3 linked regions of the Pelodiscus sinensis genome follow. The protein of the gene in region 2 purifies or fractionates together with the protein of the main gene of each other region. This does not show direct contact. Links are inferred from orthologs where the notes say so. Each region holds a gene or a part of one and is shown on either strand. Other genes may lie near its edges. The genes, in order: MED12L, CDK8 and MED13L.

Evidence for each region.
Region 1: the proteins of CDK8 (region 2) and MED12L purify together in Homo sapiens (affinity purification with mass spectrometry; 3 studies listed by BioGRID and IntAct, counting the BioPlex papers as one, with this or other methods). This does not show direct contact. The link is inferred for Pelodiscus sinensis from reciprocal best matches to the Homo sapiens genes CDK8 and MED12L.
Region 3: the proteins of CDK8 (region 2) and MED13L purify together in Homo sapiens (affinity purification with mass spectrometry; 6 studies listed by BioGRID and IntAct, counting the BioPlex papers as one, with this or other methods). This does not show direct contact. The link is inferred for Pelodiscus sinensis from reciprocal best matches to the Homo sapiens genes CDK8 and MED13L.

What each region holds. Positions count from the first base shown.
Region 1 is NC_134720.1:26,769,089-26,776,090, forward strand, and holds the start of MED12L (mediator of RNA polymerase II transcription subunit 12-like protein), read left to right. Parts: upstream 1-3,912; 5' UTR 3,913-4,280; coding exon 4,281-4,379; intron 4,380-7,002. UniProt on the Homo sapiens protein: May be a component of the Mediator complex, a coactivator involved in the regulated transcription of nearly all RNA polymerase II-dependent genes.
Region 2 is NC_134711.1:301,415,520-301,423,286, reverse strand, and holds the start of CDK8 (cyclin-dependent kinase 8), read left to right. Parts: upstream 1-4,740; 5' UTR 4,741-5,087; coding exon 5,088-5,215; intron 5,216-7,767.
Region 3 is NC_134725.1:12,063,859-12,071,478, reverse strand, and holds the start of MED13L (mediator of RNA polymerase II transcription subunit 13-like), read right to left. Parts: upstream 3,060-7,620; 5' UTR 2,545-3,059; coding exon 2,473-2,544; intron 1-2,472. UniProt on the Homo sapiens protein: Component of the Mediator complex, a coactivator involved in the regulated transcription of nearly all RNA polymerase II-dependent genes.

The sequences.
Region 1 (7,002 bases), on a different chromosome or scaffold from region 2:
CTGGCTCCAGCCAAAGCCATTAGTCCTTCCCTACTGTGAACAATACATTCACTTAGAAATTTCTAAAAGAAGGGGGAATTGTGAGGAGATGGGTGTTGCTGTTTCTGTAAAACTGCAGTGGGAAGGCAGATGGGGTGGGGAGTTGGGTTGAAGGTGTGAGTCAGGTTCTCCAGTGAAGGCTGAGAAAGATGAGCTCGAGGGATAACATTGTTCTATAGCACAATCACTCTGTATCTCTGTTCCATTGTTATGTGACATCCACAAGGGGAAGAGACCTACCCTGAGGAGATTTTGTCTCCACTCTCACCACTTGACTTAAGAGACCCATAAGGTGTGCACCTGCTACACAATAAGGGTGTGTCTAAACTACATGGCTCCATCGATGGAGCCACGTAGATTAGGCTGATGGGCAAAGGGAAATGAAGCCATGATTTAAATAATCGTGGCTTCATTTAAATTTAAATGGCTGCCGCGCTGAGCCGACAAACAGCTAATCAGCTGTTTGTCGGCTCAGCGTGCTAGTCTGGACACTCCCACACTGGCCTGAAAGCCCTTTATCGACCTCCCCGTTATGCCTCGTAGGATGAGGTTTACCAGGGAGGTCGATAAAGGGCTTTCATGTCGGCAGGGGAGCATCCAGACTAGCGCGCTGAGCCAACAAACAGCTGATCAGCTGTTTGTCAGCTCAGCGCAGCAGCCATTTAAATTTAAATGAAGCTGCGATTATTTAAATCACGGCTTCATTTCCCTTTGCCGAACAAACAAATCTACATGGCTCCATCGACGGAGCCATGGAGTTTAGACACACCCTAACTGTGGGCTTTCTTCCAGCAGCCACATAATATATTCACTGGAAGAAGGGTCTGTAATGGCTGGTGGACCCTCTCTTCAGCACTGCAAACAACACACCTGCCAGAGGAACAATGTAGCAACCTGCCAAACCCAAAAGGGGGATGTGATACGACAAAGGCCCAGAATGGGGAACACAAAAAAGCATCCATGCAGGAAATTTAAAGTGCTGTGGGATTTCTTCTGTTAGTGCAAATGACTCCCTCTGTAATCTATGCAGCATAATTGTAGCTGTGTCGGTCCCAGGATATTAGAGAGACAAGGTAGATGAGGTAATATCTATTATGGGATCAGCTTCTGTTGCTGAGAAAGACAAACATTTGAGTCATACAGAGCTCTTCTCCAGGTGTGGAAAAGGTGCCCCTAGCAGCACAGCAAAATAAGTGGAACAGGTTATTTGTTATTTGTTTAGCATGAGTAGTTAATGCATATTGTAAGGGCCCATTCATAGTAGAGTGGCCCTTTATCATCAAACAACTACAATGCACACTCAAGGCAGACCCCACCCTGAAAGAAATCTTTCCTGAACCCCAATTTCTGGCCTTCAAACAAGGACTTAACTGCTCCAACTTCATCATCAAAAGCAAGCTCCACTTAGACCAGGATGCAACAACTTAAAGTGGCATCAGAACAACAGATGCAAAACTTGTAGACACAGCTTCACAGCTCCATATGATCAACACTCCCTATAACATACCTTTCAAGGCCCATGTCTACCACAGCACACGAGATAGCTCATGCGGTGCACTATGTGCCCCAATAATGACTATGTAAGTGAAACCAGACAATCACCATGCTCTTGAATGAACTCATGCAGGAAAATAAAAAAGATAACACCCTATCACCTGTGAGTGAACATTTTTCACACAGCGATCACTCTACATTTGACCTATCAGTCCTCATCCTCAAAAGAAACCTGCACAACCAGGGATGCCGGAACAGTTTGTGTAGTGAGGGTGCTGAGAGCCATTAAACCAAACTGTAAACCCAATATATAAGGGAAACCATTTCAAGCCAGAGGGTGTTGCAGCACCCACCACAGTGCCAGCACGTAAATGTATAACACTACCAAAAGATGAGCCTGGGAGCTTAAATTCATTACTCTACTAGACACTAAAGATCAAGGCCAGAATAGAGATGCTGGATTTATGTTTATTACAACAATCTGTGATCTGTTAACCCCTTTTTTGCCCTATGATTCCAAAAATGTTACTCTCTAACTTGAATGGTTTCCTTGGTCCAAGTCTATACTGCCGCCTTACTGCGCTGCATTTTTCTGGCTCAGAGACGTGAAAAATCATAGCCCCTGAGTGCAACAAGTTACACCACTATAAAGTGCCAGCGTAAACAGGCTCCTGGAGCAGTTAGCTTCTCCCCTCGTGGAGGCAGTTTACACAGAGGCTATGTCTAGACTGGCAAGTTTTTCCGCAAAAGCATCTGCTTTTGTGGAAAAACTTGCTAGCTGTCTACACTGGCCACTTGAATTTCTGCAAGAACACTGACTTCCTACTGTCTGAAATCAGTGCTTCTTGCAGAAAAACTATGCTGCTCCTGTTCGGGCAAAAGGGCCAATGTAGACAGCTCAGATTTGTTTTGCGCAAAAAAGCCCTGATCGTGAAAATGGCGATTGGGGTTTTTTTGCGCAAAAGCACGTCTAGATTGGCCATGGATGCTTTTGCGCAAAAGTATCCGTGCCAATCTAAACGTTCTTTTCCGCAAATGCTTTTAACGGAAAACTTTTCCATTAAAAGCATTTGCGGAAAATCATGCCAGTCTAGATGTAGCCAGAGTGCTGGAAGACCTCTCTCCCAGCTCTTGTGCTGTGGCTACACTTTCATGTTTAGGTGATGCCCGGCAGCACTTTAATTTTAGAACTGTAGACAAAACCTTAGAAAACATGCTAACTACTAGTGCTAGTCAATCTGATCCACCTTGCATTTGGCTGCAGTGCTCAGAGTACCTCTCAGACTGGAAGAAGAGCACTGTATGGGCTTGCAAGCTTGTCTCTCATTAACAGAAGTTTAAGATTCTTTATTTCAGAATTACATTATTTTCAACAGTAAAAGTATGTCTGGAGAAGTGACACCAATTTTGTGGAATGTAGACAAGTTTGGGAGGAAGCGAGTAACATCTCTATACAGTGGAGTGCTCTGCAGAGGTTTCTTTTTCCACAATAACTGTGAGCATGTCTCCAGCACTCCCCTTCATGCAGCCACCAAGCACATAGGAATTAAGAAAGCAGTTAGATGGTGAGTCATTGTGAGAACTGCCTGACTGTTGCAGAGCCCCTATCCCATCTTCTCCTCATTATTTCTAAGTGGAAGCAGTAGGAAGCAGCAACTTAACAGGCACAGACAAAATTCCTCCAGATTCCCAACTGCCTCCCCTGGCTCAGTCTCAGGCCTCAATTGTGCTCACACCCTACAAGAGCATTTATGGGAGTCACTCAATCCCCTCAAAGCAGTGGGTGTTGGGCCAGAGGATACTTTAGCTTTTAAACCATGTAATAGCAAATAACATTTTAATTAAAACAAAGTTTTGCTTTGTTATGACCCAAGCTCTTAGCCAAGGCTCTACTATGAGCTGATCTACATGTTTTGTTAGTCTTTAGAGTGCTACTAGACTATTTGTTGTTTTTTAATTTTTTCCTGTTACAGACTAACTGGGCTACCTCTCTGAAGCTTTTGAACATCTTAGTTATAAAGTCTTTTAGCTTCAGAGGGGTAGCCCAGTTAGTGTGTATCAGGAAAAACTTAAACAAGTAGTCTAGTAGCACCTTAAAGACTAAATAGTTCAAGAGGGTGCTGCTAGACTATTCAGTTGTTTGTCCAGTTACAGACTAACTGGGCTACACCGCTGACGCTTTTGAACATCTCCGTTATGTGAAGATTAATTCTTTCTCCTTCACTTTGAGATTAATCTAAAATCAGTTTATTTCTGGGCCCCCCTCAGGAGGAAAGATTTTTGCTCTGCCTTGCAGTCTGGTATCCCCCCCCCCCATGCAGTTGGAAGGCATCTCCCTCCTGCTGAGCGACTTGTCTGGGATTTAAAGCGATATAGTTGGAAAAGAAATCGCCAGCGCGGTTTGAAACCCCCTCAGAGCAATTAGCGTAGAGTGTGAGAGAGCCCTGTCAGGGCTGGGCGCGGGGGGGATACCCCGCCCCAAAACGCGTCCCTCCAGCTGGCTGCGCTGCTGTCCCAGGGCACGCACCGCCGCCCCAGCTGCGGGGCACTTGTTCGACCGCAGCCCGGGGGCGATGCTGGTGTGTGTCAGGAGGCAGCCGCATCCAGCCTGCCTCTCGCTCCCCTGCAGGAGAGAGAGAGCGAGCCAGACGGCGCGAGGGAGCCTGTCTGCCAAGTGCTGCTCCCTGGTGCTCAGAGCCTGCTCCGTCTCCAACTCCCATTCATTTTGCCGGCTAACATGAGAGATCATGGCCGCCTTCGGGCTTCTCAGCTATGAGCAGAGACCGCTCAAACGCCCCCGCCTGGGGCCGCCCGACGTCTACCCGCAGGACCCCAAGCAGAAGGAGGTGAGAGCCGGAGCCTTCGGCTGCGCCGGGCGCGGGCTCCGCGGGGCTGGCGAGGGGCAGAAGTTTGCCCGGCGGCCACCTGAAGGGGTGATGGGGGCGGGGGTGGGAAAGGAGCCTGCCGGCGCGGAGCTGCTGCTAGTCTGAGGGGAGCCCCGAGCCGGAGCAGGGATGCCGTCGTGGGGGGCTGCTCCCTGCCTGGGCCTGAGGCCGCCACGGCTGCAGCCACCCCATCCCCTTTCCCAGTGGAGCCTTTTAAACTTTTGAAAAAATGTCGGCTGGCAAGGCGAGGCACCCCCCTGACTTGCATTTTTCTGCGGCGAGGCTGGGGTTCGGGGCTGGGCACCAGGGCAGGCGTAGCTCGCTGGACCTGCGGGAGCAGGAGACCTCCACTTCTCCACTCCCTTGGCAGCCTGGGGACACTGGTTCTGCCGCCGTCTGGGGCAGTAAATCCCCACCCAGAGGAGATGGACAATCATTTGTGACTGACAGAAGCTTGTCTCTGTCCATGGATGCTGGACTGCAATAGGCAAGTACTTTGGCTGTTGGGCAATGCTCAGTAACATCTGCTGGAACAAAAGCTATTTGGCTTCTAACACTCAGGGTACCCCTGGCAGGTAGGCACAGTGCAGTAACCATGGCATTCCGTAGGTAGGATACACTGCAATTATTTTAAAATAATCACTTGTTAAAAGAGTCAGGGTGCTATAATTTGTCATGGGACTTGTTTATTTTTTAACTCACCTGCTTCCCCTCTGTAGTGATTCAGATAAGTGAAAGCTATAGTCACCTGTAAACCATTTTGCCTAGTAACTTTCCTTTCCTTATTGTGACCTCAGCCAAATGGTGGTAATTGCCCTCATAGATATTTTGCATATAATTGAGGGAAGGAGGGGAGAAAACTAGTAAATATTTACCAGAGATGATGACTGAAATGAGATGGGCCCCCTGAATTTGTTAGGGTAAAACTTTCTAAGAAGTACAAGTGTTCATGTCCTCTGTTACAAAGGTTTGGTATCTTATTTTCTAAAAGTGCATTTTAACAAAATCTGCCCCTTATTGTTAATCTAGATTGTAAAATTGCAAATCCCAACATGACAGGTAATTCTTTAGGCAGTGCTTGCTGATGTGTCCATTTGCAGGTAAACCTAATAGAGATCTGAAATTGCAGAAGTAGGGATTTATTCCAATTTCAAAGAGCAACTAGTTGCTTGGCCATCTCAAGTGGGTGACTGGAATTTAATGGTTAGAAACATGTTTTTATAAGTCTGAAGCAGTGGGCTGTGGATGACCTTCAATTCTGAGGTAAGCTGCAGCCAGAGGAATTCAGAAACTTGAAAATGTATTTTCAAAACTTGGTCAGAGGGGGTAGGGGAAGAAGTTACCGTACTTTCTACTCTGAAATACTATCCAAATATTTGACCATGATCTTTACGAGGCAGTTGTCTTTGATAATATAGCAAAATGTATCTAACATTACGGCTAATCTCTATATTTTGGACTTGGGAGAGTAATTCAGGGCTAGCAGTGTGTTTGAATTGGTGCTTCTTTGTAAACTCTGACAGTCAGTTACACTATCAGTATATCTGCTTCCTGTACATTTTCCCCTTTGGCCAAGGAGATTTCCCCATCTCAGTTTTGTATTTCTTTTACACTCAAAGCTCCTACTTTAAGCAGTTTATGCCTCTAGCAGAAAGTCTTGAGGTTTGATCCAAAGCCCATTCAGTGAGATTCTCATTTTTTCTATGTACTTCATTGGGCTTTGGATCAGGCTCAAAGCCCCTTGTGTGGTATGGAGGCCACACACATCCATTCGCTGCTATTCTTCTCATTAGTAGCTGATTATACAGTTTCTATCACATTTCCAACTCCCCCCGCCCTTTCCCCCACATGTTTTTTGGTGAGTTCAGCGCTTATTAAAGTTGTGAGCCTGAGTCCTAGAGAATGAAGCTGTCTAGTTATCTACACACCTAGTATAGAATGGGCTGCAGCAGTGCAAGATTCTCCAGATCATCAGATTATCATGGCCCATCCAGTCTTTCGTTTCTTTGCAGAGACAACCAGCAAGGATGCCAGGGGCTACTAATTTTGATGGTGGATTGTGAACATGGACACATCTACTATGCATTAGACTTAAGCCATCAACTGATTGATATAGGCCAAACAGTAACAGTCATTATCAGTTAGTAACTACTTCTGATCCCTGCTGGCTTCAGATGGATGTGGGCTAGTGATTTATATTGAAGCTCCATTTTCTATCTTATTAACAATCCTTTGAACCCTTGAGGATTCTCTTCCTTCTTTCTTCCAGTCCCTCTCTTCCACCCTCCATGTAGCCCCTCTTATCATATTTATAAATAAAATTCCAGTTTACTATAATGTGACATTATATATTTTGACTAAATTTATGGAACTGCATTTGGATTAAGCTGTTATGTATACAGATCAACTTTTAGCTCAGGAATGCTATATGTTTTTAGTTAGAAAGTGTAGTGATTCTTGAAGATACATTTTATACGTATCTAGTCCGTTACAATAAGAATGATAGTGGCAAGTGTCCAGCTGATTAACATTTAGAATACACTGCATAGCTGTATTAATAAATCGGCCATTATTCTATTTCTAT
Region 2 (7,767 bases):
TCCTAATTTGTCTGTATCAAGAAAGACACTGAAACCAAACTAGTGCTGATAGAGGCAGCTGCTGGCTTCAGCTTTAAGTATCCTAACTTCTGATCTTGTCCTGCCACTTAATGAAGACAACAAATTAAAAAAAAATCCCAATCTTGTGTTCTTCAGCTTGTATTAATACTTCTGTTTCATTGCTATTCATTGGATATGTAACCATGGTTCTGTAAATAAAATCAAGCCCATCAATAATCCCATCCAATTCAGTGTGCCTACTTATGTGTAAGCTGAAGCACATACATATGGTCTTATAGGATGTGGGCCCAAGACTTTGTCAATAGCACTGACTTAAAAGTAAACATTCTTCTACAAAGGAATTTTATCACACAGTTAGAGGGAGACTGCTGAACTGAAATTCATTTACAAGTTTGATACTAGAAAAACTGTAAAAACAACATAGTGTAGTAGCACCTTAAAGACTAACAAAACATGTAGATGGTATCATGAGCTTTTGTGGGCATAACCCATTTCTTCAGATGACTAGAGGGTTATGCCCATGAAAACTCATGATACCATCTATGGCTATGTCTATACCCGCGGCTTCTTGCGCAAGTACGGCCATTCTTGCGCAAGAATCTGCAGAGCGTCCACACTGCCTGCCCGCTCTTGCGCAAGGAGCCCTCTCTTACCACACCATACTGTAAATTTCCTTGCGCAAGAGTTACGCTTTTTTTTCCCCAGGTGTAAGCCCTCTTGTGCAGGAGCTCTTGCGCAAGAGGGCAGTGTGGACGCTCGGCAGGGATTTCTTGCGCAAGAAAGCCCTATGGCTAAAATGGCCATCAGAGCTTTCTTGCACAAGAGAGCGTCCACACTGCCATGGGAGCTCTTGCGCAAAAGCGCAGCTCGCACATGGCAGTGTGGACATTTTCTTGCACAAAACTGCTTGCACAAGAACCCTTGCGCAAGATGTTCTTGCACAAGAAACAGCAAGTGTAGACATAGCCTACAGGTTTTGTTAGTCTTTAAGGTGCTACTAGACAATTAGTTGTTTTGTAAGTTTTTCTAGTATTAAAGAAAAACAGAAATACTGGACATTTAACATGTCCTGTATTTTTTTATTTTATTTTTTTTACTAGACGGGGGCCAGAAATAATGGACTGCCCGGGCAAAAAACGGACACCTGGCAACCCTAGCAGTGTAGACATAGCCGGTGATTTCCCCATCTGCCTGACATGGCCTTAAAGTTGAGCAGCAGTGCTTTTTTAAAGCAATGTCACAGAGTTTACCAAGTGTGGCACTGCAGTTGCTTCCTGCTTCAGTACTGACTTAACTCCCCACAATCCAAAAGGAGGAGACAAAAGCCCCCACCTAGGGTCCACTTTAGTTGAGTCTACAACTGTGTTCCTCCTCTCTGCTTTTCTTGTTCTGTAAAGACTGCAAAATACAGAGGAAATAATTCTCATATTAAATATTCTCATGCTAAAGGTTGCGGCATGGTTGGCTGTCCAAGGAGTTATTTGCTCTATAATTAAGCACATACTTTCCTTCAGACTTTTCATATCCAGTACTACTACAATTCAGATCTTTCTTTGTTTAATGTCCTATTCCAGCAGTTAGTATGTGCAGGTTGTTAGAGCTCAGCCAGGCTCCCTTCTATGCTCCAAAACTTTTGCTTGTAAATATAATTCCTTACATTCAGGAGCCTTTAATGATGACAGTCTCCTGCGACTTCCCTGCTCTCAGAACAGAAACTGTTCACTTTGGTACCTGTCTCCACTGTTGTACTAAATTCCATGATCAGTCACTTCTAGTTGATAACTATGGCTTTATTTCAAGCAAGGTAAAAGGAAGAGATTTATAAAGGGAGTGTGGGGATGAAAAGCACAGCACAAGCATGGAGTAAAAATCTTGGCAAGGGGGATATGAAGTAAGAAAAGGATGGGAGCAGGAGAAGAGGTTTGAAGCCCTAAATTGAGCAAAATAATTAAGCACTGTATTCAATGCTTTGCTGAATTATGTATGAATGACAGCATGGAGGAGAGAAGACAAGGAAACAAGCAATAGAAAATAAACTTTTATCACTCTAGAGAAGCAGCACTGTCCCCAGGAAAAAAATTAGATATTGAGTTTGAGGAGTAGAAGGTGAAGGCATAGCAAGCTCTTTCTTTAAAAATGGAGCTTAAAAACTGGTTGTCTTTTTTTATTTTGGTCATTGTTAGAACTTTTGTGATACTTGGCAGATTTCTGAAATAAATAGAAAAATGTCTTTTCCATTAAATATAGGTATTGAAATAAAAATGAAAGGAGATCCTGAAATGTCAGCAAGATTAAGATAGTCTCTCTAATTTAACTCTCTATAGGTATCATTAGCTCCATTTTACAGATAGGAGTATGAAGCACTGGGATGAAGGACTTGCCCATGGCCATCCAGCAGGCCTAGGAACAGTGTTCAGCGTCCTCGGGCGCATCTACAAGTACCCTAAACTCAAAATAAGGTACCCAATTTGTGCTATGCAAATTGTGTATCTTATTTAGAATCCAATTTGAAATTTGGTGCTTCTACACAGCACATTATTTCCAAATTTGGAGCTATGTTGAGCTATCCCTTATCCCTTGTGCAGCGAAGTTTACCGGGAGGGCAAAATAGCTTGCCTGTTATTTTGAAAAATATTTTGAAATAACGGGCAGCTTGTGTAGATGTGGGGTAACTATTTTGGGATACTTCTGGTATCCCAAAATAGCCGTGCAGTGCACCCCTAGTCTGGTGTATTGTTCACTAGCAAATATAACAGTAATACTGACAGGGCAATTTAAATATAAATATTCCTTCCTGCAAGAGAAACATATGCAGAAAGATATAAGAAGAGCTTCTAAACATTCTGACAAAATGATTAAAAACCAAAAGAGAAAGTACACGTGTGTTTTTAATGTGGTTTTGACTCCTGAGATGATTGGCTAATCATGAAAGCTTTTTAGATTTAGTGTAAATATCTAGAACATAGTACAGATTCCCAGAACTCTATTCTTGATTCTATATTTTTGTGTGTTTATATCCTTCCGTAATAAGCATTTTTAGGCCACGTCTACACAAACTTACATCAGTATAAATACACACCCTGAGCAATGTAGTTATATTGACTTAATCCATGACATAGATAATGCTTTGTCAGCGTCTCCCATGGATGTACCTAACACTTCATTTGGAGGTGGACTAACTGCTGATGGGAGCTCTCCTGTTGAAGTAGTAGTCGCTTCACTAAACGGCTATACCAGTGCCCCTGCAGCTTTTAAAGTGTAAAGCTGGCCTAACTCTTGACTCCTTTTATGGCTCTCTAGTTTTCAGAAACCCATCTTTATGCTTGGATAACTTAGCACATGGCTTTAGCCCCTAACATTACAGATTCAATCCCTTCTGTTGAGGACCAGGGCTTATCAGCCTTACACATACGTGACCAGTAGACATGCCAGAAAAGTGGCTGGTTTGGTGCTAGTGCTAGGGTTGCCAGATGGTTTCAACAAAAATACTGGACACACTTAACATTACATCACAATCTATATTACATCTTATTTTGAAAATACCGGACATTTATATTTTCTCAATTTGTTTCCAGAACAGAAAGCTCAAATACTAGACTGTCTGGTTCAAAACTGGACACCTGGGAACCCTAGGTAGTGCCTATTAGGATGTTAAAGGTTACCCAAGAATCATTACACTTACAGTCATACTTACTCTGTTAACAAACCAGTTAACTAGAGGGCTGGGTTGGGGACAGAGTCCTCTCCTCCCTGCTGTAGCCCAGCCAGCAAGGGCCCACTAGGTGGAAGCAGTCCCCTACCTGCAGTTCAGCAGGACCCTGTCTGGAGCAACCCCCAGGGCATGGAAGGATGCTGGCTGGAACAATCCCCCGCCTGTGGCATGGCAGAACCACAGCTGGCTGGAGCACTCCCACTCCTGCCAAGAGAGGGCCAGGCTGGAGGCAGCACTCTGTCCTCAGCAGGCTGACCCCAATTAACCAGTTAAACAATTAAAATTCTATCCTTTAATCAGTTCACTTTTTAAATGAGTATTTACATCCCTAGTGCCTATTTGCCAAATTCTGATATAATTACTGAATTTATGAAGCACCTACAAACAAATCTACTGCCTTCCATGGGATTATGTGTGAGGTAAATTACTATTTAGCATAATTACGGGAATCAGGGAGTGGCCCTTCATTAGGTAAAAATGCACAGATTTACCGCAAAGCATACAGTTGCCTTTCTTGGTTGAAACTATAGAATCTGTGGTCCAAATTTACGCATGCATTAACACATAGGGCTTGTCCTCACTAAAAGATTAGGTCATGTTAGACCACAATTTGAGGAATTGTATGAACAAAAGTGATGTTAAATGTGACTTTATGGTTAATACTGGCAGGGACTGCCTTATTTTAAATCTTATCAGCTCGTCTGGGGTAGATGCAACTTCAATCATTTGTTAACCCCCTTCCAAACTATAGTTCCCAGAATGCAGCAACCCCAGCATGCACGCAATAAGCCCCTAGCGCCACCCAGCGCTCTGCCTTGGCGCCATTCCGTTCCAATGAGCGCGCCTTCAACCGCCCCCAGACTACAACTCCCAGCCTGCAACGCTCCAACATTAGCTCAGCTCAGACTACAACTCCCAGCATGCAAAGCGGGGCCCTTTACCGAAGCCTGTACTACAACTCCCATCATGCAACGCTCCTGCGCCGGCCCCCGGTGGCGCAATGCATGCCGGTCCGGGAGGTGGACTGGGCGCTCTCAGCCGGCTAGATTCCACGTGGTGTTTTAGTCGCTGCTGCTGGGGAGGTGTCGCGGTGAGAGCGGCTTGCGACGCTTTTTCAACAGTGCAGTGAAGCGGGGCTGCCGTATTCCAGGTGCAATACCGGCTGTTGTGCCGTTGTCTGGCTGCGGCGGGCAGGGAGCGGCAGGAGACGGGGTGAGAGAGGAAGGGGGCAGCCCCCGCGCTCGTCGGCTTCCCCCTGGATGGTCCGTGTCGCTGGTGCGGGGCCTCCTCCTCCCTGGTCCCTGCGGTGTCCGGAGGCGCGGCGGGCTGTGGGTCGCGGCGGCGGGCGCTGAAGATGGACTATGACTTCAAGGTGAAGCTGACTGGGGAGCGGGAGCGGGTGGAGGACCTGTTCGAGTACGAGGGCTGCAAGGTGGGGAGAGGCACCTACGGGCACGTCTACAAAGCCAAGCGGAAAGACGGGTGAGTGTTGGCCCCGGCCCCGTGCTGCCCCTGGTTCGTGTTTGCCGCCCGCTTCCTGCCCCATTCCTGCTGCTTCCCTGCCCCCTGGCACCCTGCGTCTGCATCCTACCCCGTCTCTGCTGTGCTGCGATATTGCACCCGTCTGTGCCCTGCCCCCTCTTTGATGCTGTATTGTCCCTCGCCACCTCCCGTGTGTCTGCCCCCTCCCACCGTCCCTCTTGCCTCATTGTCCCCTGTCACTTCCCTTGTGTCTGTGCCTTGCTCCCTACTAGCTATCGCATCCCTCCCCCATCACCTGTGCCCTGCTTTATGGGACCCCCATGTTCCTGTGTGCTGGCCAAGTTCCACATAGCTTTTCTGTCCCCATTTCATTGGATCCAGATCCAGCTTCCTGAATGGTGTCCTCCATACGCTGCTCCCACTCTTCCACTATCATGCTTTATCCTTGTATACCCATTTCTCCATTCCATGCTGCTTTGCTGTCCCACTTATATTGTTCCCTGAGCTGATATTGACTGGTGACTGTCATATCCCAATAGCCCTCTGTTTGTGTATTCTATCCCCTCTTCTGTGCCTTGCACCCATTTTTATTGTTTCCCCTTGCTCTGTCCCTCTGCTGCTATATCTCTTTCCTTTAGCCTTAACCATCTCATTGTCCCTTACTCCGTTCCTAACAATCTAACAATGACGGTGGAGATAAACAGTCACAGATGAAAATACACTTTCTCCTAACCATTTGGCTGGTGTCTTGTTGGTACTGGCAGATTTTGAGGGGGAAAATTTTCTTTGGCTGAAAAAAATCCATATAACTTGGAGATCTTTACTTCTGGACAAATGGCTGTATGCTAGAAAAGCCTCAGCCTCCATCATCTATTTTGCAGGGTTGGATTTAATTTTCATGGTGGGTTTTCTGATTTATTATTGCTAGTCACCATTTTGAATGTTCTTGCTGGTTGATCCTATGACTGAAATCTTAGTCTTGAAGGAGTTTGTACTGGTTGCACCTATGACTGAAATCTTAGTCTTGAAAGAGAAGCATTTTTGAAGATAATCTTTTTTATGGCCAATTCATAGTACGGTTTTTGGGAGATGGAGGTATAGGAACATAGCTGTCTGTAAAAATGTACTGAAAAATACGTATGTCATTTGGATTTATTATTCCATAGCAAAACATCACTTTTTCAACAGCACAGCAGTGGGAAGCAGGAGATCTGGGAAAATGCAGAGCTTAGTGTTGTCAGTTTTTCTAAATTTTAGCCATGTTTGGGTTGTTCCCTTTCATCTTAAATCTCATCTTTTTTATTTTTTCCTTCCCTCCCTCCAGCCCCTTGGGATAACTTCATTAGTCTGTTACTGATAATTTTCCCCATGCATATTAGGATGGTACATTTCAACCATTTAAAATGGCAGTGTTTTTATAGTCAATAAACTAAAAATTTTGCTTGCCCCAGTTATCGGTGAAAATTTTATTAGTCTTGGTTTTATGTACTTGCATCCACGTGTACATGCTAATATCATTATTACATAGAGAACTCGGTATAAGGGAAATGGCTCACATTTAAACGTTACATATTAAAAAGGCTATTAGGCATGCTTATAGTGACGCTGGCATAATTATTACAGTATATATTTTGTTTGCTGCTGAGGGCCAGCTAATACGTTGGTTATTTTTTTAAAATTAAATATTACACCCAAAAATAATACTCCTTCCTGGACTTTGGAAATAAGAGTTAGGAGGAACAGATTGTGTTTCTGATCCTCTGTGCATTCGTTTAATGTAACTTAAGGTGAGTAATTGTTGACTTCAGTAAAGTTAAACATTAGAGTTTAGGAATACATGATTAAAATGTTACCATTAAGATAATCTGGAAACATTTAAATCCAGAAACAATGTAAAATTTGGACAGTGTTAGTGGAAATATAGATGACAAATACTTAACAACATTTTTATGCAGAGCTGTTCCAATGTTTTGGATGTGTATTGTTTAGCAAATATTTCTCAAGTTGGTGTGTTCTTTCATCAATATTTTCAAAAGGTATGCTGATCTGTGGTCTCAAGAACAGAGCCCTAGGTGTTGAACAGTGTTCCCTCTAATCTCTCCTATCTTTGAATGGGTTGAATTGGGGGGAGGAGGGGCAATTGAAATTTTATGTGCAACACCACTATTGAAGTATTTTGTGGATGTGCACCACCAATATGCAAACAAAATGCATGCATGCATGCATATATACAGGGCTCGACAATTAGGTCAATCTACTCACCCGTGGCGAGTAGATTTTAGCTTGGCACAGTGCTGCAGCACGATTCTCAAGCCTGCATATATATATATATATATGCAGGGCTTGAGAAGCGGCGGCAAGCCCTGCTCGCCAGCCATGCCATTTGGCATGCTGTGCATGCGCTAATCGCGCTGCTGTGCATGCGCTAATCGCGCTGCAGCGCTGTGCCAGGCTAAAATCTACTTGCCACGGAGTAAATATATATATGGAGTAAACGCTTATTAAGTTTGCAGATGATACCAAGCTGGGAGGGGTTGCGACTGCTCTGGAGG
Region 3 (7,620 bases), on a different chromosome or scaffold from region 2:
GCTTTGCAAGCTATTTTGTGTTAAATAAAACATATCTGCAAACAGATGTTTAAATGTTATTTGTTATTGCAGAAAAAAATATTCGTGAAATCAATAAGATAGATTTAAGAGACCAAATTTGAAGTGGTATCACCTTATACTGTAGTATACCAAGTATAAAGGTATTTATACATCAGTTTGAATGCAAGCTCACTTTTAAAAGCAAACTCCATAATTGTATTTTTTTTACTTCACTGGCATTATGCATATAATTAAAAAAATATGCTGTTCTATAAAGTTTCTTAGTATAAATTCTTTAATACAAAATTTGAAAATCTAAACTTTGTAATCCATGGTACCTTATACCAAGAATTATATTATCTATGACAGACTTTGACAACGGGGCTACAATTATACCACCTAACACTTACCAAAACATATTAATTTCCTAACCAAAACATGGTGAATAAAGTTAACAGGTTTTTTTATTGGTCTTTTTTTTTAAAAACTAAGATTGACTGAGGTTTTGTTTTTATTTTACTGGTGACAATCTTTCCTGATACATTTGCTTCTCTTTTATTTACTGGTGAGTTTTTCTTAGTAATCAAGACTGGTGTACACAAACCACTGTTACCACTACTATATTTGCGGTATACACTGGTGATATAAAGGCACTGTAAACATTAGCATAAATGCAAGATTAAATAGTGTCATTTAGCTCTGAAAGTGGTTAGAAGTCAATAAAAAGCCAAAGGGGATGGTATTTGTTATAACATACACCCAAAAGCCTCCTACAAGGATCCCAATGTACAAACACATAGCAAAAGAAAACCTCCAACAAGAATATAATTCTTTGGAGATGAAGACAAGGTACCTGATATCAGGAACAAACAAACCAAAGGAACAAAAGGAAAAACTATGTAGCACTTTGAAGACTAACAAGATGGTTTAAGAGGTGATGAGCTTTCATGGGCCAGACCCACTTCCTCATATCACATTATTCCTCCCAGCTCATCTCTGCCTTCTGCCAGCCCCACCTCCAGAGATGAGCTGGGAAGAATAACAGGATCTGAGGAAGTGGGTCTGGACCAGGAAAGCTCATCACCTATTAAACCATCTTGTTAGTCTTTAAAGTGCTACATATTTTTTCCCTTTTGTTTTAGCAAGATCAGACTAACACAGCTACCTCTCTACTACAAACCAAAGGAAAGCATCAAAGGTTGTTCATCATCCGGGAAAGACGGAGGTTTACAGTTAATTACAAAACTATCATTACAAAGGCTAGCAATATGCATAACTTAAAGGTTCCAAGTTAAACATTTTAAAATGAGGGTTTTTTTTAAATTTCACATTCCTTCTCCACCTTTAGAAAAAAGTAAAGCTGTAATCTGTTCTTTTTGGCTGCGGAGGAAGAGTGGTTGGAGGGAAGAAAGAGGTGTTTCGGTCTGGTTTGGTTTTTTAATTTCCTCTCCCACTCTTCTTGTATTACCCTATTGCTCCCCATTTTATCTTCCTAGTTATCGTTCCCCTATAAACAATCCTATACTCCACCTCTTTTGGCTTGGGTTGCTACTGGGGACCCAAGAGTTCTCACCTTTACCTGACTAATGGTTCCTTGCAGCTGTGGCATACAAGAAAGCAAAAAGATCTTTTCAAATAAAATGTCACTAATCCGGATAACAAGTAATCGTTCTTTGTATTCATTTTAAATTAAGATTTAAAATATACAGTTTTTGCAACTGTTCAGTATGAACAACGGATATCATAGCTGCTGTAAGATTAAACCATGCCATCTAAGCACAAAGTGAAAGTTGTCAACCACCAGTGAGATGGAAGGTAACATAGATGCTATCAAGCAACTCAACGTTGCATTTTCAGCTAATGCTTTCCCTTCCAAGGCCAAAAAAAGTCTTTCATCCCTTTCACCCCCATCGGTGCAAGGGAGGCATGGCTGTAAACTCATAACGACAGCTGACGTTCAGACACAAGAAGCCGGAGAGCACGTCCTATAGATAATCACATTGCATGAACTGTTTACTGCTGAAACAGCGTTTGTCATTACGAAAAGGGGGGGGGGGGGCACACGCAGTTTAAGAGGCACAAAGCACTAGGGCATGAAGTGTCAAAGCAGGCAGGGGCGGGGAGAGAAGACTGTTTACCACAGGAGACGGTCTCACATGTGGGCAGCGCAGGCAACGGGATACCCAATCCGTTGCCTTGACATCTCCTATTCAGAGCCATGCAGCTGGGCGCGGGGAAGGCGCGCTCGCCGCAAACGCTGTTAAAGAGCCACATACATAGGGAGCGGAGCCGGGAGGAGGGGCCAGGCGGGGAGCAGCCCCCCCCCCCCCCCGGGTCCCAACTATAAAGCCCCGGCAAGCGGCACCGACCCAACCACGTTGCAACCCGGCTGCTCGAAAGAGCATCGGGGCCCCCTACGTGAGCCCCACGCCGGGCTCGGCCCCTCCGCGCTGCCTGCCCGCGGGGACTCACCAGCGAGAAGAGGTTGGAGTGACAGTCCTCCAGGCTGGCCCCGTTCGCCACCCAGTTCGCCGCCGCGGTCATGATCCTCGGCGAGCCCGGCCGCCAGCGCGGGGCATGTCTGTGGAGACGGGCCGGCGGCTCGGCACAAGCGCCCGGGGCTGCCTCCCGTCACAGGGGCGGCCGCCGCAGCCCTGCCCCGCACACGCGCCAGCCCGAGGAAGGGCCGGGGACCGGCAGGGGGCGCTCCCCGCGCGGGGGGGCCTCGCTCCGCCCCCCCTGCCCGACAATCCGCAACGAGCCGAGCGGGCGGGTCCAGCACCCGCAGCCCAAGCGCGCTCCGGCGCGGGGCTCGCCTCAGGGTGGCGCGGGCAGTGGCGCCGGCGGCTGAGGGGGGGCGCTGTCCCCGCCCCTCGCGGCGGGTGGGTGGTGTTTTCCCGCGGCCGCCGCCTCGTCCGCGCGCCGCAACTGCCGCAGGCCGGACAGCGCGCGCTGCCCCTGCCCGTCCTCGCCGCCCTCCGCGTGGCCCCGCGCGCCAGCAGCGACTCCTCCTCGCGCGCTCGCCTCAGCCGCTCGCCACTCTGACAGCAATGGCGGCCGCCAGACGCAGGGCGCCTCGCCATTGGCCAGCGCCGTACCACGTGGGCAGCTGCGAGCGGCGGGGGAAGCGAGCGCTCCAAGTCTGTCCTCTGTCTCTCCCTACACACACACGCTCCTGCTGCCTCCCAGACGCTCCACAGGGGGCGCACTCGAGCAAGGAATCTGCTGCCCGGGCGAGCTCCTAGCGCCTCCCGACCTAGCTCAGGCGCAGCACCTGGGCTCAGTCTAGACTGCAAGCCTCTTCCCAGAGAGCGTCTAGACTACAAGCACTACTTTCGAAAGAGCGCTCCCAGGCAGTCTGGATGCTCTCTTTCGAAAAAGCACAGTTTTCATTCCACAAGCCTTTCTTGCCACTTTAACCAGAAAGGACACTCTCTAAATGACTTAGCCACCTGCATTCTGCTACAAAGACCTTTTACATCTGCACTTGAAAGGGAATCCTCTGAACTGTCATTCATGTTAAAATTGGACACTTGCCAACAAGGACTTAACAAGACTTTGAACTTTCTCACCCATTACCAAGACAGTTTCCCCAATTATCACCTGTAATACCATTAACTCACAAACATCCCACTCTCCCTACCTTTAATATCAGCAATTCACAGACACTTACCTTCCTTCCTCCCCCTTCCCCCCCCCCCCCCCCCCGCATCCCCCTTCTGTTCTGCAATGTGATTTGTCCTTTTCATATTTGTTCATTTTTTTTAATTGTATCCTTTGGTATATATGGTTGTGACTACTTTCTTCCACTATTTGATCTGAGGAAGTGGGTCTGGCCCACGAAAGCTCATCATCTAATAAACCATCTTGTTAGTCTTTAAAGTGCTACATTGTCCTGCATTTTGTTTCAAAAAAAAGGCGTTCCTCCTCATAAAATGAGGTTTTCCACAGTCAAAAAAACTGCCACGCTCTTTTGTTTTACTTGCAAAAGCATGTGGCAGTAGTCTAGACTTAGGGAAAGTTTTTTTGAAAACAAGCCAGTTTTTTTAAAAAAAACCTGTGGTCTAGACACACAGCTAGTGCCCCCACACTAGTCCTGACTACAGTCAGGGAGAGCTAAGGTGATTCCTTGCTTCAAAGTAGGGCATGAGAGTAAGGCCCAGAGTGCAAAGAGTGCAGGTCATAGAATCATAGAACCATAGAGCTGGTAAAGACCTCAGAAGGTCAAGTCCAGCCCTCTGCCCTAGGCAGGACCAATCCCAACTAAATTGACCCAGCCAGGGCTTTGTCAAGCTGAGACTTAAACACCTCTAGGGATGGAGACTCAACTACTTCCCTAGGTAACCCATCCCAGTGCTTCACCACCCTCCTGTTTTTCCTAATATCCAACCTGGACCTCTCCCACTGCAACTTGAGACCATTGCTCCTTGTTCTGCCATCTATCACTACTGGGAACAGCCTTTCTCCATCCTCTTTGGAACCTCCCTTCAGGAAGTTGAAGGCTGCTATCAAATCCCCCCTCACGCTTCACTTCTGCAGACTAAACAGACCCAACTCCCTCAGCCTCTCCTCATAAGTCATATGCTCCAACCCCTAATCATTTTGGTTGTCCTCCGCTGGACCCTCTCCAATGTGTCCACATCCTTTTTGTAGGATGCCTTTAGCTGTGCCTCTTACCCTTATATAGGGTATTAATGATGATGGTACTAGAAGATATACACCTATGTTACTGCTCTGTTTTTGGAAGTAATAGTTACAGCAGGGGTGGCCAATAATGTTTGATGGGGGAGGAGGGCACTCCAAGAATTTGGGAACTGTTTGAGGGCTGCATTCTTCCATGATATTAATGGAGGAGGTGTGGGGTCTGGGATGGATGGTTACATGGCACTCTCCGACACACAAAAATGTCACATTGCTCCTCACTTTTCACCTATGATGTGACAGAAAAAAATCGTAATTTTTATTTTTGTTGTACATTGGAGAGAAATGCAAAAGGGAGCTTGTAGTAAGGGAGGGAGTTTGGATGAAGGAGGCTGTTGTGACCTGGGGCAGTGGACTGGGGTACAGGGGGTTGGATTGTGACCTAGGGCAGGGAATTGGGATACAGGAGGAAGCGCAGGAATTTGGGTTGTGAGATAGGGCAGGAGGGGACTGTGATCTGGGGCAGGGGATTGGGGTGCCTAATCTGGGAGGGGGTATGGGTGCGGGAGATGGGAAGAGGATTTAGTTATGCAGAGTAGGATGGCAAGAGTTGGGGACAGAGGTTGGGGAATGAAGGGGCTGGGGTGCCAGAGGCAGGCTTTGGCTAGGAGACTTACTAGCCAGCAGACCATTTCTGAATTAGCCTCCCTGCCTGCCCCACCCCAACACAGGCTGCAGCCATGTGCTCTGTGAATAACTATGAGCCCCTTGTTCTTTGTGGCTGCCTGTTATTAAAACCAGTTTCTGGCCAAAAGTCAGCCAATGGGATTGTGCTGGGGTCACAAGCAGCTCCTAAAGCTGCCTTCCCCTCCCTTCTGGGCTCAGTTTTTAAAGTAAAACTGCCCCGCAGCCACGTGTCTGAGCAGCATGCAGGTGGGGCAAGGCAAGCAGAGAGCCTGTGTGGGGCTCACTGCAGCATCCGTGAGCCAAATCCAGTGGTTTGGCAGATCAAATCCAGCCCACGCGCTGTATTTTGCCCAGGTCTGAGCTATAGTCAGCTGTATTTTAATCCTTCCCCATCACACACTCTTAGGGGCAACAAAGGGAACAGTCAGCAAACAGCCTTCCTGAAACTTACTTGCTTCATCCACAAAATGGGGATAATACTTTCTAAGAAATCAACCGTGCTCCATACATGTTTCATCTTATTGCTGATACGCTCAATTTTCTTATTACGTTCTTTTACAGAGAGGGCTTATAAGAGCTGAATCAATCCAAATTCATTGCCTATGGTAGGGCTGGGTAAAATGTGTCCCAGGGCCCAGATCCAGCCCTCCTAACACTGTGATTTACCCCGGACTGTATCTGGCTGCCTTCTATTTCTATCCTGCTGCCCATGCCACCGAATTTCCAGGCTCATGGCTCCCAGTCATGGCGCTACCTTGGCAGGGGACAGAGCTATGAACCTTTAAATAGCTGCAGCAATCCATTAGCCATGAGGCTGGGATTTGGGAGCCCTTTTCTGTGTCTTTATTTCAAAGCCTGTGGCTCCAGACAACTCTGAGGGGAGACTAGTCCGCAGCCCTGCCCCTTCTACTCCAGGCCCCGCCCCTTCTGGGGGCGAGGGGTTAAGCCAGCTCTTGACTACATTGGAAAATTCATTAAGTGGCCCCCTTGCAAAATGTATTGCCCACTCCTGTTCTATGGCATACTGAGGGCATTAGACAGCAGTAGCATTTTTTAAAAAAGAATGAATGGTTACATGGCACCCTCCTACATACAAAAATGTCACATTGCTCCTCACTTTTCACCTGTGATGTGACAGAAAAAAATCGTAATTTTTATTTTTGTTGTACATTGGAGAGAAATAAATATGTCACTTGAACATATATAAATAAATTCAACGTTATTTTATAAATACAAGCTTCTCTGGGTGTCTACATTCACTGAAATAAAAACTGTCAGCTCTGGGAAATGCCAGGTGATCATTTAATATCTTAACTTAAATTTTTTTTTTAATAAACATTTCTCAAGTTCACAATGGCCCTTTGATACAAACACTGATTTGCTCAGGCATAATAGGACTAACTAATTGGATTTCTCATTGGCTACCAGAATATCACAGGTGTGGTATTAGCATTTAAGATGTGTGATTAATTTACATTCACTTAGCAACCCCCATTAAAAACGTAAGTATGTATTGACTGTGCAACAATTTTAAATGATCTGGTTTTCAGTAGGAAAGCTGATTTTTTCAGTCTTGTTTTTGTCAAAGCGTCAAGGAGGAAACTTCTTACATCGCATTTTATTAAGCAATTTACTTTTTTAATTAGTTTCAGTTGTAATGATTAGGATCTATTTTATAACACTAACAGAGAGGAATTCAGTGTATGTCAAGAATGTTTATTCAGAAGAGAACTTCTGCAACAAATCCATAGTTGCATACAGATCACAGACCCACATATGCAACTCTGGGTTTGGAACTTAGACTCCTGGTCTCCAGCAACAAAGGACCAACTCCACCAACAGTAATATTAGAGCTTGCGTCTTTTGTCAATTGCATTTATTAGACAGTTTACATTTTTAAATATTGGTGATTGGTAAATGTAAATCCAAGGTTTGTCCATAGGGTTTTTACCTCACTCAATTATGAGCATTTAAAAATCAGAACTACTACATTTACACTAAGTGAGGGGATGGGGAAGGACAGACTGTCATCTGCTCCAGTTGACTTCTCCCAGATAAAAGGGTCAGACTGTGTGATGGATAAGAGGAGTCTTGGCCAGCAGCCAGTGACCAAATGGGTTAAACTCAGGGAGCTAAGGGTGTTGGCAGGAAGCCAGAGGAACCAATGGAATACTGTGCTGAAATTTAAATTGTAAATGTATACCTTGCCATCTCTCTTTGTGCGGGAGTTCTAAGTTAGGAGCTGGAGGAAGCAAGATGAAATAATCAAACAGAATTACCATACCTACAAGA